Linked DNA regions of Cricetulus griseus. Each later gene encodes a partner of the first gene's protein in a complex. Links are inferred from orthologs where the notes say so. Each region holds a gene or a part of one and is shown on either strand. Other genes may lie near its edges.

The links. The genes of interacting proteins can lie anywhere in the genome.
Region 2: the proteins of Ywhah (region 1) and Numb are in contact, whole or in part, in a crystal structure (PDB 5YQG), measured with the Mus musculus proteins. The link is inferred for Cricetulus griseus from reciprocal best matches to the Homo sapiens genes YWHAH and NUMB. Residues at the interface, in NP_035868.1 of Mus musculus: Arg57, Arg132, Tyr133, Leu177, Asn178, Val181, Glu185, Ile222, Leu225, Asn229; in NP_001129547.1 of Mus musculus: Gln274, Gly275, Ser276, Phe277.

The regions. Positions count from the first base shown.
Region 1 is NW_023276807.1:102,059,796-102,068,010, reverse strand, and holds the start of Ywhah (14-3-3 protein eta), read right to left. Parts: upstream 5,182-8,215; 5' UTR 4,979-5,181; coding exon 4,892-4,978; intron 1-4,891. UniProt on the Homo sapiens protein: Adapter protein implicated in the regulation of a large spectrum of both general and specialized signaling pathways. Binds to a large number of partners, usually by recognition of a phosphoserine or phosphothreonine motif.
Region 2 is NC_048598.1:119,944,809-119,952,327, reverse strand, and holds part of Numb (protein numb homolog), read right to left. Parts: intron 4,864-7,519; coding exon 4,659-4,863; intron 3,078-4,658; coding exon 2,787-3,077; intron 1,065-2,786; coding exon 915-1,064; intron 1-914. UniProt on the Homo sapiens protein: Regulates clathrin-mediated receptor endocytosis. Plays a role in the process of neurogenesis.

The sequences.
Region 1 (8,215 bases):
AGCACCTTACCAACTAAGCCATCTTCCCAACCCAACAACTAACAGTCAGAACTGAAATTTAACCAATTCTTAGCTATGGCACTGAAAAGCTCCCCAGTTTTCAGAACAGGCAATGTTCAGACCTACATACTTCCCTTTTACACTTGTCCACTGCAGCTAAGCCACAAGGAGTAGATTCTATTTTTAATCAAACTTGGCAGATACACCCAGTAAGTGTAACTGCTTAGTAAGTCCACCTACATAAAGTAATTGGAACAATGGTTAGTATAGCAGACATGTATCAGAAACTATCCTGTAACTTCCTGGGGGATTGTATAATGTTAGAGAATTCAAATTCTAGCTTCACAACCTACTAACCAAGACACTATTAACCAATGCAAATCCCATCTGTAAAATGGTACTATTACAAACAATACTTGTAAACTCCTGTTTTAACATTGTATGAAAGCTGAAGGAGTCAACCAGTGGTAGAATATATGCTTAGCACATACAAGACCCTGGGGTTTTTGATTCCTAGTACCAGGCAATTAGTATAAATAAAAACAATTGGTACATGGACTAAAAGCTACTATCTAGTGAGTACCTAGTAAGTAAAATTCCTCAAACTTGCTGAATGTAATATGGAAAACAATGAGGTAACCCTTCAAAACTTTTGGTTTTTTTCAGACAGGATCTTACTGCATAACTCAGACTGGTCTTTGTTTGTCTTAGAATTTTCCTATGAATTTTTAATTTTTTATTTTAACGAAGGCTAGTCTTAAACTCACAATAATCCTCCAACCTTAACTTCCCAAGTTCTGGGATTACAGGCATAAGCTATCAAACTTAGCCTACACTATATTTCTAAAAAAAAAAAAAAGTGTAACCTCTATAGTTAACTCCTAATAATAATAATAATAATAATAATAATAATAATAATAATAAAGCACTTTTTCTTTTCCCAAGTGAGCAGTATGGCTCCCATACTACTGAAAGCTTTTCAGAAGACAATTCAGGAACCCAGATGCAGACAGAAATCAGAAATCCTGCTTTCAGGGAAGGAAGACTATATATCTGTTACCTGAAATACTTCTTTCCCGTACAAGGGACAAAGCCAAAGCCCTAAGTATGCTAAGTGCTCTCCCACCCAACCCCAACCCTAGAGCAGTAGCCTCCAACTGAATCTATTACATAAATATTAAATGTCTTCTTCCTTCCTCAGTTTGGATATTGGTAAAGAGAGAATCACATTTCAATGCCCAGCCAGTGGAAAATGGGACTCTCCTAGTTTTCATTTATTCCAAACAGCACTAAAGTGGCTTTCACATTCGTGGTGGATCAATCCCAGCACTCAGGGGGCAGAGGCCAACCTGGTCCATGTAGGGAGTTCCAAGCCAGATTCACGTATGTGTGTTGGTGATGACACACACAATGAGAACCTATCTCAAAAAAATTTCCATATTGACACAATTTTTGATGGATCTTAAAAGTCCAATGTCTCCTCCAGTCATTCAGTGGGATTCTCCTTTTACACACCACCTGCTGCTTCTCCCATTTCTCACACTCTCATAGCCAGCAAGTGTAAGGGCCTTTTGCCTCTTCCTGCCCAACTCATGTTGCTTTGAATGCAGTTTTGTTTCTTGCACTTAGATATTCATCAAATCCAACATTTTGCTCTATATTCTACCAACACTGTAAGACTGTAGCAGCTGGGTGTGGTGGCACATGCCTGTAATCCAAGCACTCACGAGGCGTAGGGTTTGAAGTCAGTAAGACCCTAATAACTTTGTACAGCACTGTATATTTGCATTTTGTAATTTCAGTTACCACCTCTAAATGACTCAGGGGAAGAAGAAGATATGACTGAATTATCTACCCATCAATACAGAAGCCTATAGTTCCCTTATCTCCTGACAACTCAGTCCTTCTACAGGAGCATTTTATTCTCATTTAATAAACTTACTTCATACTCCATGGAAGTGACTAGGCAACATCAGGAAGGGCTTGAAGAGTTATTTAATTAAGCTTCTGTAACATGTGATGACTCTTCATGAGTAGGGGGAGAAGTTATGGTCTTCAACCGATTTGAAGCAATACCACTATTCCTAATGGGGTGGGGGGTGGGCTGAGGAATCAAAACAGGGACCCTCAAAATGCTAGGCAATGGCTGTACCACCCAAGCTCCACCTTCAGTCATTCTTAAAGTTTACCACTACTGTCCTCCAGGTGACGCTGCTAGATTAAGAAACATCATTATGCCGGGCGGTGGTGGCGCATGCCTTTAATCCCAGCACTCGGGAGGCAGAGGCAGGCGGATCTCTGTGAGTTCGAGACCAGCCTGGTCTACAAGAGCTAGTTCCAGGACAGCCTCCAAAGCCACAGAGAAACCCTGTCTCGAAAAACCAAAAAAAAAAAAAAAGAAACATCATTATAGGCACTATGACTAAACCACTTAAATTAATAAAAACCATCTTGAAGATTAAAGAAAAAAACTGACTTGTTACTAATACCAATATTCCTAATTTTTTTTCAATTTTCCTAATTTTATACTTCAGAGATCCTGCAGCCAGGAGATGTAAGTTTCAAGGTCAGAGTAGTGACACCCTACTCCCCCATTCTGTCAAGCCTGTTCCACTCTCTCTAAACAGTGTACTTACCTGCCTTTAAACTGCCTGAAAAAAAGCCCACATAAACCCAGGGGGAAGCCAGGCAGGACGGTGCACACCAGTGATCCCAGGATTTGATGGGTAAAGGCAAAATCACCTGGAGTTCAAGGCCAGCCTCAGCTATTTAATGTATTTGAGGACAGCCTGGGATACCTGAAAACCTATCTAAAAGAAAAAAAGGAAAAAACCCAATGTGAGTATACTAGAGTTCATTCTTCCCAAAAGCTTTTGAATAGATGGCCTATTAGCATTTATTAAGAATTTCATCTAAAAATTACACCAACAGGCAAAATAAGATTTTTTTCTACACCTACCTAAAAATATATCCCACTAATATAGGTGGCAAACATTAATTCTGGTAGGAAACAACTCCCCTTATTTTTTTAGTAGTTAACTTGAGGGAATGTTTTATCACAAATTTGATGGTGCAAATATTAAATTCTCTGTTCCTGGTGTCTTTTCCAAACCATGAATCATGAATTTCTAACACACTCAAAGGTTCATTAGCTTGTAAAATGTTATCTTAATGCCCCAGGGAACATCTGTGAATAAAATAGGCAACTTCATTTTCAAGCCCATTTAGAGAGACCAGAGGGCCTTTTTTTCCCTGATGAAACTATATTTTGTTCTGGTAACATCTCTCTAGTCTTTCCTAATTTCCCACCTCAGGAAATTGGCAGCTCCACATACATGACAGCCGTTTTTCCTTAGTTTTAATTCATCTTCATATAAGCCCCATCCATCTTTCTCTTCAACATTTTTATCTCCCAAAACTGCAGCCTTCAAGTACCACTCACACCATGAGCACAGGCCTCACTCAGGGTCCAGGGAGAGGCCTCAACTTGCAGAATCCCAGAGCTATTTGGTGACTTGGTGTGTGAACAGTGGTGGCTTTCAAGATGTACATTAGTGATTACAGTCTTGTTTCCAAAAATTTGCAAAACCATATTTTAACTTTGTTTTCTTAAAGGAAGAATTCACAATTTCTTCAAAGTCCAGACCCCAAACCCAGAACATCCCCTGGTATAAATGAAAAGCTTGTATATAATCAGCACAGCATAGCATAATAGTGAAGTCAGTCTCACCAATGAATCAACAAACAGGGTTTCCAGAGACATTTTGCTGAATGTGTAACAGGGCACTAGAGAAGATAGTAACTTGATTATCTGTTCTTACCTGGGAAATCCTAAATGTTCACCTCAATTTTATATCTCATGTAGTATCAAAATAAAGTTTCCAAATTATATTAACAGGAGTCTCTAGGTTTATAATTTTTTATTTAAGAATCATTTCAAAGGCCAGCTATAGGACATATGAGCTACAATCTAGGGCAGTTAATACTTACTCATTTAAGTCAGCTAAAAACTGCCCTAAGGGCTGCTTAAAAGGCAGATTTCTGAGTCTCACTCCCAAAATGCTTGTCTATGGTGGAGTCCAAGGAAATTCTCCCCAAGCTTAGGAGGTTTACACCAAGACACTTAGTAGCCACGGTTGCACCTCTATCACTGTGACCTTGACAAGAAATATTCTTGACAAGAGAAAACCCAGGACCATGTGAAGAGTCGTCTATAGTGGGGTGGTAACCAGAATTCAAACCCTCGAATAGGCAGGTAGGCTCTAATCTACGATACTTGCTAGGGTGTGGCTGGGCATGTCTCCTTTACCGGAAATCAAGTTGCAGAATCCATCTATGAGGGTCTCAGGAATGCAAAGGCACCCAGGTTTGCTTCATTTTCATTTCCTCCGCAGGCAGACACGCTGCACTGAATGTTGGGATATTATGTAGGGACCCACGCCCTCCTCACGCCTATGACTTCTGGAATGAGGTCTTCGCACACAAAGCCAGACCCGAGGTGTGGAAAATGGGAAAGAACCAACTTCAGGCAAGCAAAGCAAACAGGTCGTGGCGGAGAAAACCAGGAGACGGGTCTCCAGTGGCTGAGGATTCTTTATTACAAGTGGGTGAATGGTGGAAGGGAAGCACGTTTCGCCTCAGGTCGGAAGAAGGGTCTAGAAGCAGGAACGCGATTTCCTCGTGTACCCCCTCCCCCACCAGGGCTCCGAGCGAGGCTGCGGCGACCCCTGCCCGCCAACCTCCGAGGGGAGACCCCGCCGCGGCAGGGCCTCAGGAAATGGAGAGCTCGGCGGCCGCCGCGCCCAAAAGGTGGCTGTGCGCTGGGAGGGAGCCGCCGCCCAGGCCCGACCCGCCCCACAGCCCCCGGCCGCCCGGCTCCCGGTGCGCTCACCGCCTTCATGGCGGAGGCCATGTCGTCGTAGCGCTCCGCCTGCTCCGCCAGTCGCGCCCGCTGCAGCAGCTGCTCTCGGTCCCCCATGTCTCTCGCGACTCGGCCTCGCCTCGCGCGCCCGCACCGCCTGCTTGCTCGCTCGCTCGCCCGCCTGCCCGTCCGCTTCCCGGTCTCCGCCGAGGCCGCCGCCGCGCACGCGCACTGGCTCGCCGGCTGGCGGGAGGCTGCAGGCTGCGCCGCGGCTCGCGCCCTCTCGCTGGCTGGCTGCACGCGCAGTGGCGAGGGCCGCGGAGCCGCGGAGAGAGGACAGGGGGGCGCCGCGGGCGGCGGGAGGGAGGACGCGACCACGCCTGCGCACTCGGAGCGGCGAGCCGCGGGAGGGGGAGCGGGGCGGCCCAGCCCTAACGGTCTTTTTTAAGGTGACGTCATCTACTATAAATAGCTGCGGCTAGGCCCAGCGCTGGAGAGCGGCGCAGGCGCCCTAGGAGTGCTGCATTTTACCGCCGCAGTGTTGGAGGGTAGGGAGCGGCCAGGGCGCGGCGATGGTGGCTCCTCAGGCTGGCGTTGTCGCCGCCCAGGCCAGGAAAGCGTCACAAAACCCATGTTAGAGCTCAGGTTTGAGAAGGGCCCTCCCAGCAAATAACCCTGTGTGGAGAAGCCGCCGCCCCCCACCGAGGGACGTCTCTGCTCCCTGAGGCCACACCCAGCGCTTGGGTCAGCTCTGGTGGTGGCTCCTTCCCTTAGGGACAGCTCCTCAGAGACACTGGAACCCACCATACCGCACCCTGAGAAGTGACCTTCGGCCAGCTCTGGCTTTCACAGGGCTGGCAGGTAGCTTGGCAGAGTTTAACGGTCACGACAGGCCTACGAGGAGCTGGCCCACTGCTGGGCCTTAACTGGCACTAACCTATTTCATACAACCGACTCCACGAAAATCACAGCAGGCCCCCATTTTTCAAAGCCCAAGTGCATGCCGCGACCCCGGTTAAAAAAAAGTTGGCGACCAACCTGGTCGACTTACCCTGTCTGTTTCAAAGATTTGAAAGGAAGTTTGGGGTTACAACACAGAGGTACCATGTTTGCCTGGTGTGAGCGAGGGCCTGAGGTGGACCCCTCAGTGGAAGAAGCAGCAAAAATGCAAAGCAAGGGCACACACACTTCCTGTGTGTGGAGTGACCAAAATCTGATTTCAGTATCTTCTTGGACTTCTATGGCAATGGACTGACTGGTCACTAAGCCCCTCCCAGGCCTGCAATTCCATGCTAAGGGATCCTGGGTTGGGCCTTAAGACCAAGCTAGGAAAAAAAAAAAAAATTAAAACAAGCACTCTAGCCAGTCACAGGTGGCTCTCTGAGTTCCAGGACAGCCTGGTCTAGAAAGCAAGTTCCAGGACAGTCAGGGCTACACAGAGAAACCCTGTCTAGAAACAAAGCAAAAAACAAAACATCCCCAGAGAATCACAGGAGAAGGGGCCTTAGGTTGACTGAGAACTGTGCGTATTGAAGGCAAGGGGGCAGAGATGAACCCCAGACATTGCTCTTCAGAGCTATCATTTTCATTTTTAAATATATAGAGAGGACGTTTTAAACTTTTTGTATTTTGAGACAGAGTTTCTCCGTGTAACAGTCCTCGCTATCCTGGAAATTGCTTTGTAGACCAGGCTAGCCTCGAACTCACTGAGATCCAGCTGCCTCTGCCTTCCAAGTGCTGGGACTAAAGGCATGCGCCACCACCGCCAGACTGTTTCTAACTTTTTTAAACATATTTGGGTGGAAGGCAAGTGGGGTGAGGGATGCGTGTGTAGAGGTCAGAGGTGTGTGTGTGTGTGTGTGTGTGCACGCGCTCGCGCGTCCCCTAGAACTGGGGCAGTTGTGAGCTGCCATGTGGGTGCTGGAGATAGAACCCAGGACCTCTGGAAGAACAGCCGGTGCTCTTATACTCTAAGCCATCTCTCTAGCCCCAGATGGCATCTTGCTCATCTTGCTGTTGTCTCTCTCCCCTGTGGGTTCCTGAGAGGAATTCAGGTCATCTGGTTTAACTACAAGTGACTTTACTTACATCTGAACCATCTCACTGGCCACTCATTTTTTGTGTGTTTTTGTTTTATACAGATCTTTCATTTGGCCTGGAACTCACTAACTGGGCTATGCCTGCTGACCTTAAAACCTCAAGAATCCACTAGCCTTCACCTCCTCTGCACTGGGGTTCAAGCATGCTCTACTATGCCTGGCTTCTTATCACTGGGTGATGGGGTCAGGTGATGGGAATCTCACCACTGGGTGATGGGGTCAGCTGATGGGAATCTCACTACTGGGTGATGGGGTCAGGTGATGGGAATCTCACCACTGAGTGATAGTGAAACCTGCTTGAACCCCAGTGCTGGGGAAGTAGAGGCAAATGGATTCCTGGAACTTTGTGGTCAGTCAACATAGTCTAATTGCCTTCTGTGAGGGCAGGTGTAGCACTGCCTTCCTGGGTTGCTTCCTGCTCTCAGAGCATACCGCCCTTAAGCATTTCTGGCATTCTCAGCCTGAAATTGGTTGACAGTGAAAATGAAGCTGAGCTGTGTGTTCTGGATAATTGATTTTGACAGTACTACAGTTTGAACATCGTCTCCTGAAAAAAGCATGCATCCACAGTGCTTCAGAGGAAGAGCCTGATGGGAAGTGCTGAGATCATGGTGGCTCCTCCTCCATAAATGGATTAATACCAGCTAGAAAAGGCCTGGAGAGAACTATCCCAGGTTCAAAACAAACAAAAACCAAAACTGTTCTATCTTCTGCCAAGGAGTATCATATTCTTAGATTTCTGAGGCCCTAAACCTGGGGCAGTGAGGGGGGCAGATTATAATTTTTATTAGTTACCCAGTCTGTGGCTTTCTGCTAGCTATAGCAGACAACAGAAAGGAAATGACATTGGTGACTCCTTGCTTCTCCCTCGAAGAGTTTTGCCTTCTCTATCTGCCTCGCTTCATCTAGACTCTTCATGGCCACCAGAGATGCTTCATAGTCCTCACCTCCCTGGCTCTCTTGGGTGCACTGGGCTCAGTTGCCGCTTGTCCCTCCATGTGGGTTCTCCTCTTGGCTTCTGTGGTCCTACACTCTCTAAGCACCCTTCTGCTGCAGAGTGGGCTCACCCTCTAGCCTTCCCTGAAGTATTGGTGTGCCTCAGGACCACCCCAGCCCCTCTTCTCACTCTGCTTCATCTTTGCCCCATCCATGTTCACTCTTACGGGAAAATGACTCAATAGCATGTTCCCAGCACTGGGTGATGTGCTATATAATGTTTTTGTTTTGTGATAACTCTGAAAGGCATGTACAATTC
Region 2 (7,519 bases), on another chromosome or scaffold:
TGTCTGTCAGATAGAAAGAAAAGCTATGATATAAATCACATATGATTATAGGCATTTGCTTCAAAAGAAGCAGAGATGAAAACCTAGGCCCAAAACAAAGGTGTCTGGAAGCATCTTCCAGAGGTAATGGCACTGACCGCAGGGCAGTCCTATCTCTGCAATCTCAAAGGAAATGGCAATGGGCAGGTCATTGGAGCTTTACTTTAGAAGTCACTGATTTAAATTACATAAATTATTTGTTGATCTATGAGTGAGGACTTAATTTAGCAGGGGGTGGGGCCCTCTAACACTGAAGTAACTATTGTCACAAAGGCCAATTTTACAGTATTTGTTATAGACCATAAAATGAACCAGTGAGGCAGAAAAAGGCTTCTACTTTGAGTCTCTCAGACAGGAGGAAGTCCAGGTGTCCTTAACTTTAACACCACTCACATTTTGGAATGGGTAATTCTTTGCTGTAGGAGCTGCCCTGTACATTGAAGGGTGTTTGCCAGCATTTCTGATGCTGTAATTCTGATGCTGTAATCCCAAAATGTCTCCATACAATGAATGTCAAATTTTCCCTGAGGAGGCAAAATTATCCCTGGTGGGGAATCACTATGCTAGAAGGCACAGAGCCTGAACCAATCCTGATAACAGATTTTGTAAAGCTGGCTGGCTGCTCTGACCGTTGAAGTCAAAAGGCAAACAAAGTGGTGGACTGGGGTTACTGAAACTCTTACTAGAAGATGAAAGACAGACGTACATGTGCCAAATGATGAAAGCGGGCAACTTAGGAGAGGAACAAAGCCCGAAGAGGTGGCTGGGCAGGGAGATGAGGATAATGGCAAGCTCAGATGCCAACTTCTAGTTCACAAGCAGCATGCCAACAGGGTTAGTTTCAAAGAGAACAACTGAGGTCAGAGGTCACCAACCTTGTAATACAGGAGACTGTGGTGCCACCAATGTAACTGGTTTGGTCATTGGGGCAGAGGAAAAGGGGTCCTCGGAGGGTGTGCTAAAGGCACTGGTGATCTGTGAACACAGGGAGCTGATGCTCTCTGCCTCTCCTTCTACCTCTGGCACTGCAAGACAAACACAATGGTTCTAGACAGGAAATAGAAAAAACCTGAAATATGACAGCATGGTGTAAACAGCCATTTTTCACTCTCTCCCTTGCAGAAGGACAAGTTTTAACTGTCAGGATACACAATCAGCTTCAGTAAATTAATTGATGAACACTTCAATTTTCAGACAGGAAAGCAGAAAACATCAGTAAACTATGCACTAAGATAGAGCATCTTTCTCTGCAAATCCCTAAATGTCTTTAGTTCTTTTTATGACATTGTTGGGAATTTGGTACTTGTTTATTGTTGTTGTTATTTTTTTTTTTAATGTGAGGTTGTTTATAATAGCTGGATCTTTTGGGAAGATCTCTGCAATCTGTAAGAGTTGACTGGGGCGCTGGAGACATGGCTCAGAGGTTAAGAGCACTGGCTACTCTTCCAGAGGTCCTGAGTTCAATTCCCAGCAACCACATGGTGGCTTACAACCATCTATAATGAGGTTTGGTGCTCTCTTCTGGCATGCAGGCATACATGCCATAACACTGTATACTATACATAATAAATAAATAAATCTTTGAAAAAAAAAGTTGACTGGGTCCTAGAACTTATGACCTAATCAGGTTCTAGAGCCATCAAGCAATTTTATCAAAAAAAAAAAAAAAAAAAAAAATAGGGGTGTGTGTGTGTTTAAGGCTAGATACAAAAGCTTTCTCCTGAATCCAAATATGACATGTCAACACTTTCATTTTCTTTAAAACTTCTAGTACATGAACTGTGGTATCCAAGAAAAGTGAACTGAAATGTAGGACGCTAAAGACTCCTTAATACTAACTCTGGAAAGCCAAGCAGGAAGATTGCTTTCATCCAGAGTTTGGGTCCAAGCAAGTTTGAGATCCTGTGTGGGAAAAAAAAGACACTGAAAACACTTCCTTATTACTGAGCAAATAAATGATGTGTACTGAACCTTTGCTCTCTGTGAAAAAGAGACTTCTATCTATGATCATCTGCCCCAGAGGGACACTGCACAGAGGTACCTCAAGCATCTGCAGTTTGGGGGTTGCCGAAAAGACTTCCTGTGATCACCTACCTCCAACTGTTCTTTAAGCCTAGTTTTATTTGTCCACAGTTCTTACCTCCCTGTACTTTATATGTTGTCTGTAGAAGTGCCTACTGAGCCAGAGCTTTCTCATGTTCAGTTATAGAGACAGTGTGTCTCAGAGGGAAGCACTATAGGGTCCATAAAAGCACCAGCCACATCTAACACTTTAGTTCCAGATCACATGATAAGGATAGAGCTCACAGGCTGGCTCTAGCTGAACAGAGGACACACAGGTGAGGAATCAATGTGAGCAATCTCATGCTTCTGCTCAACAACAGACCTTAGATTTGTATAAAAGAGCCATTTAGAATGTGTTCTCTATGAAGCCAAACATAAGGAACACTTATCCATTTCTTCTGTTCGTTTGACAGTGGTACTTACTATTAACCTGTAAATGCTTCTAAAGCCTCTTTAATTCTCCCCGGTCCTATGCAGCACATGAAGAATGGGAATTTGGAACCCTTGATGTTTGGAAACAGGCAGGCTGAGAGAACACATCTACACCAGGACAAACACAGACCTGTGGCTCTGTCAACTACTTATGGGCCCTAGTTTGCTTTCATCTGAAATGACACACAGTATAGCTAACAGCTTCAGAGAGACAGGAGAGGTGACGGCACATCAGAGCTAGAGCATATTACCTGCGTTTTTTATTGGGAAATCAGTCTTCCTCTGCATAGTGGAAGGCAACTCATTGATGCGTAGGGATAGTTGGCGTTTAAAGGGTGACATCTTCTGGCTAAGAGCAGGAAATCCCCGGAAGGAGCCTTGGCGAGCAAGTTGTTCAATTGGTGCATGCCGGCGTGGTATGGCATGAGGGTTGTTCATCTCCAGAGAAGCAGTGGTATCCGAAGTTGGAGAGGTGGGGGAGGATGGGGATGGAGCAGTGTTGCCAGGAGCCACTGACGGACCAACAACTGCCTTATCTTGCTCTGCTCAACAAAACAAAACAAAAAACAAACAAACCAACAACAACAACAAAAAAAAAAAACAAAGAAAAAGACCTTAGACCTCAGCAGTGACCTTCAAATACCCTGAGTTGACAGAGCTGAGAGCACAGAAGCCCTCTTGTTCTTTTCTGTTCACATGGGAAGGAAGTTTCACTGGGGGAAGGGAAGGGTAGGGAAGGGAAGGGAAGGGAAGGGAAGGGTAGGGGAGGGAAGGGAGGGAGGGAGGAAGGGGAAGGGAAGGGAAGGGAAGGGAAGGGGAAGGGAAGGGAAGGGAGGGAAGGGAAGGGAAGGGAAGGGAAGGGAAGGGAAGGGAAGGGAAGGGAAGAGAGGGTAGAGAGAAGAGAGAAACAGAAAAGAGAGAGACCTGCCTCCTCAGAGAAATGGCAGAGAGAGAGAGAGAGAGAGAGAGAGAGAGAGAGAGAGAGAGAGAGAGAGTGCGAGCAGTCCTCTTGTTCTCTACCGAACCCACATCCCATGTCTTACATAAGACAGGCTAGAAAATGGTTCAGGCCCTCTGCACTCTGACACATGAAGAGTTAGCAACACCTGCTTGTCTTATCCTCTACTAAGACTGAACAGACAGGACTGGAGACATGCTCAGTGGTTAAGAGCATTGGTTGTTCTTCCCAAAGGGCCCAGGTTCAATTCCCAGCACCTATATGATGGCTCCACAACAATCTGGTGAGCAGATATATAAGCAAACAAAATACCTACACACATAAAACAAGTTAAAAAATCTTAAAAATGATTTTTTAAAAAAAGACTGAACAGGGGCTGGAGAGATGGCTCAGAGGTTAAGAGCACTGACTGCTCTTCCAGAGGTCCTGAGTTCAATTCCCAGCAACCACATGGTAGCTCAACCATCTATGAGATCTGATGCCCTCTCTGGCCTGCAGGCATACATGCAGGCAGAACACTGTATACATAATAAATATAAAAAAAGAAAGTTATTTGTTCTACTGAAAAAGACTCAATGTTGGCCCTGGGTTTCTGCATACTCTCTCACACAGACAAGCATCCATACAAAAGTAAAAACACCAACATGTAAGCACTCAGGATTATACCAATATCTAATCAGCACAGTATCAACATTTACTCTCTGCCAGTATCATAGCCAGTGTTTGTGTCTCTAAATCCTGGGGCTTGTGCTTCATCCTCCAAGATGGTGTGTCTTTGATGGTACTTGTGTCTCATAGAGACAGACACATAAGAATTAAATGTGTTCTCTGCAGCTTCTTCAACTGCTTTTCACCTTCCCCCAAGGAGCTTACTATAAGAATATGTTTTTTAAGCCACTCTAAAGAAAGAACTTTTGTAAGATTTTCAGTTTTGTCTTTAAAGTCGTCACACATTGCTGAGAGATCTCTCTTTGAATGTATGATGTGGATGGGGGATAAGGAGTGATAAAATAGAACCCATATTAGCAATGCTCTATCAATGGGCTACATCCGAAATCCCAAGAGTTCTTTTTGTCTGTAGGAAACTTGTCTCTGATAGCTTCAAATACAAACCTGTTTGGAAAATCTAAATTAAACAAACACACCACAGAAGAACACACTGTACCTTTCTTGGCATCTTGCAACTGTTTCATGATCTCCTCTCTTTCTGCTTGTTCAGTGGCAGTTGTGACTCGGAATGATCCTTCTCTTGTAAAAGTGGTTCTACTGGCATCAAAAGTAGCAGTGACTCCACACTCCTTCTCCCGTTTCTGTTTCCGCTCTAAACAGGCTGCAAAAGCACAGCCCACAGCATGGCTCAGTCTTTCCCCCTGCAGAGAGCAGGTTTTGAAAGCTCTATGAAAGTCACAGCACCAACAACTACAAACACATACAGCTATTGTAAATTCCAGTTTAAAATTAACACGCAAAATGAACTGTCTTTGTATTCAAGCTTCCAGTTTTCCTTTAATTTTTAAGTGTGTGTGTGTGTGTGTGTGTGTGTGTGTGTGAGAGAGAGAGAGAGAGAGAGAGAGAGATATACAGAGAGAGAGAGAGAGAGAGAGAGAGAATACAGAGAGAGAGAGAGAGAGAGAATACAGGTACCCTCAGAGACCAGAGGTGATGGATTCCCCCTGGAGCTGAAGTTTGAGAAGGTTGTGAGCTGCTTAAAGTGGTGCTGGGGACAGAACTTGGGGGCTCTCTGCAAGAGTAGTGCTTTTCACTACTGAACCATTTCTCCAGCCCACTAGTTGCTTTGTAAAAGGGGAATTGCAAGAATATTTGGCAGACATGTCTAAGAAGCACTGGAGAGGCAAGAATTTCAGGAGCCTGACTGCACTGCCAACATTTCCGGGGGGGGGGGGGTATTTACAAACTTAAAAACAACTCCCTATTAAAAGGGACTCAAGTAAAGACTTTGCTTTGTCTCCTTCATGCCTTCCCTATATTTTAGCTCTGTCATTCACAACTGCACGTCCCAACCACACAAAGGCAAAAGTGCAAACACAGTTGCATCTATGCCTTACTTAGAAATGGAACTGATTTGCTTATGTGTGGCAAGAGAACGGAGTTAGGTAAACCAATCATTATTTTATAGATACATTTAATTACCCAGAGTCAAGTTTATTATTATTTTTTATGTGCCATAAAATATGGATATTTCATTCCAACTCTGGGAAACACATCCTTCTATCCAGCATTCTAAGTTAACTGGCAATAACTGGGAAAACGGAAGCAGATTCATATGTTTAAATATGTATATGTATGTTTACATATGCATATGGTTAGATTTTAGTCTCAGAGACATTTATATCTCCATTCTATTTGCTCTCTAATAAATTCTCTTACAAGTCATGGAATGCACTCCTAGTACTTCTACTTCAGTTGCTTCATCAATCTCTCTCTCTCTCTTTTTTTAAAGATTTATTTATTTATCATGTATATAGTGCGTGCCAGAAGAGGACACCAGATCACATTACAGATGGTTGTGAGCCACCATGTGGTTGCTGGGAATTGAACTCAGAACCTCTGGAAGAGCAGCCAGTGCTCTTAACCCCTGAGCCATGTCTCCAGCCCCTTCATCAATCTCTTAACATTACTTGTGTTGTCATTAATTTGTGTTTAAATCACTTGTATCACTGGTCAAACTGTTTATTTGAAAACATCATGGAAAAATTTCTAGCCATGCTCTGTCAGTTACCCATCCGTTACATGATTTGTCACCATTCTTTGTCACTTGGGACATCTTACGATTCTCTATGCAGGCTCCCACTGCCATCTACTTCAGCTTCTAGTGCTGTACATATCTTTATCTTCTGGATGAGACTGCCCGGGATCCCATGAGCTTGGGGTCAGGTATAAACTGTGTAGGGCCTGCAGTGGATTTCGATTTCATCTTTGTTGCAGAGGCAAGTGCTTCTGGAAAAGGTACTGAATGTTTCAAGTCAGGCGTTTTGGCATATATTTCATCAGACCTTCCTACCTTAGGCTCTTCCTTTGGTTCCGGGAGTGATTTTTTTTATTTTTTATTTTTTTTTTTTTTGGGTTTTTCGAGACAGGGCTTCTCTGTGGCTTTGGAGGCTGTCCTGGAACTAGCTCCTGTAGACCAGACTGGCCTCGAACTCACAGAGATCTGCCTGCCTCTGCCTCCCGAGTGCTGGGATTAAAGGTGTGTGCCACCAATGCCCGGCCAGGGAGTGATTCTTTTTCACTGCTTTTTGTCCACAATGACTTAATGGCTTGATAAATTTGCTGGCTTGTAGTATATGCCTTTTTCCCAGTTATCTTTGCAATTATTACCGACTGAGGGAGGTAACAAATAGTTGCTCCTAATGAAGCCAATCCTAGTGGATAAGCAATCTTCTTAAACCTAGTACCTTTTCTTGCTGAAAGCAAACCCACCAGTCCTGAAGCTGTAATCACTCCCATTTTAGGTAGAAAATCTTAAGACAGGGTTTCTCTGTGGCTTTGGAGCCTATCCTGGCACTCACTCTGGAGACCAGGCTGGCCTCGAACTCACAGAGATCCGCCTGCCTCTGCCTCCCGAGTGCTGGGATTAAAGGCGTGCGCCACCACCGCCCGGCCTTAGGTAGAAAATCTTGAGGAGGATTCTTCAGATAGACATATGCAAACTGTACTGTATCCATTATCCCATCTGCATAAAGATATAAACACCATTGCACCAGCCAGTATAACAAACAGTTGTAGTATGGATGGATGCAAAGCTCATCTGTAAATAACCAGGCTGTTCAACATATTTAGAATAGAGAGGAGGTGCAGTATATATGGGGAGCTGTTCTGGTCTTACTAGCTGCTTTTTGGGGTCCTCTTCTTTGGCCAGATGTACATTTATAGATGCGTATGTCAGACCTGCAGGCATAGTTGTCAACTTTCCCATCCTAAAAGCCACCATACCTATGACCCTCTCAGCTCCAAGTTTATCATTTTGTAAGATTATTTTTTTGTGAGGGCTACTGTATTTTAAAC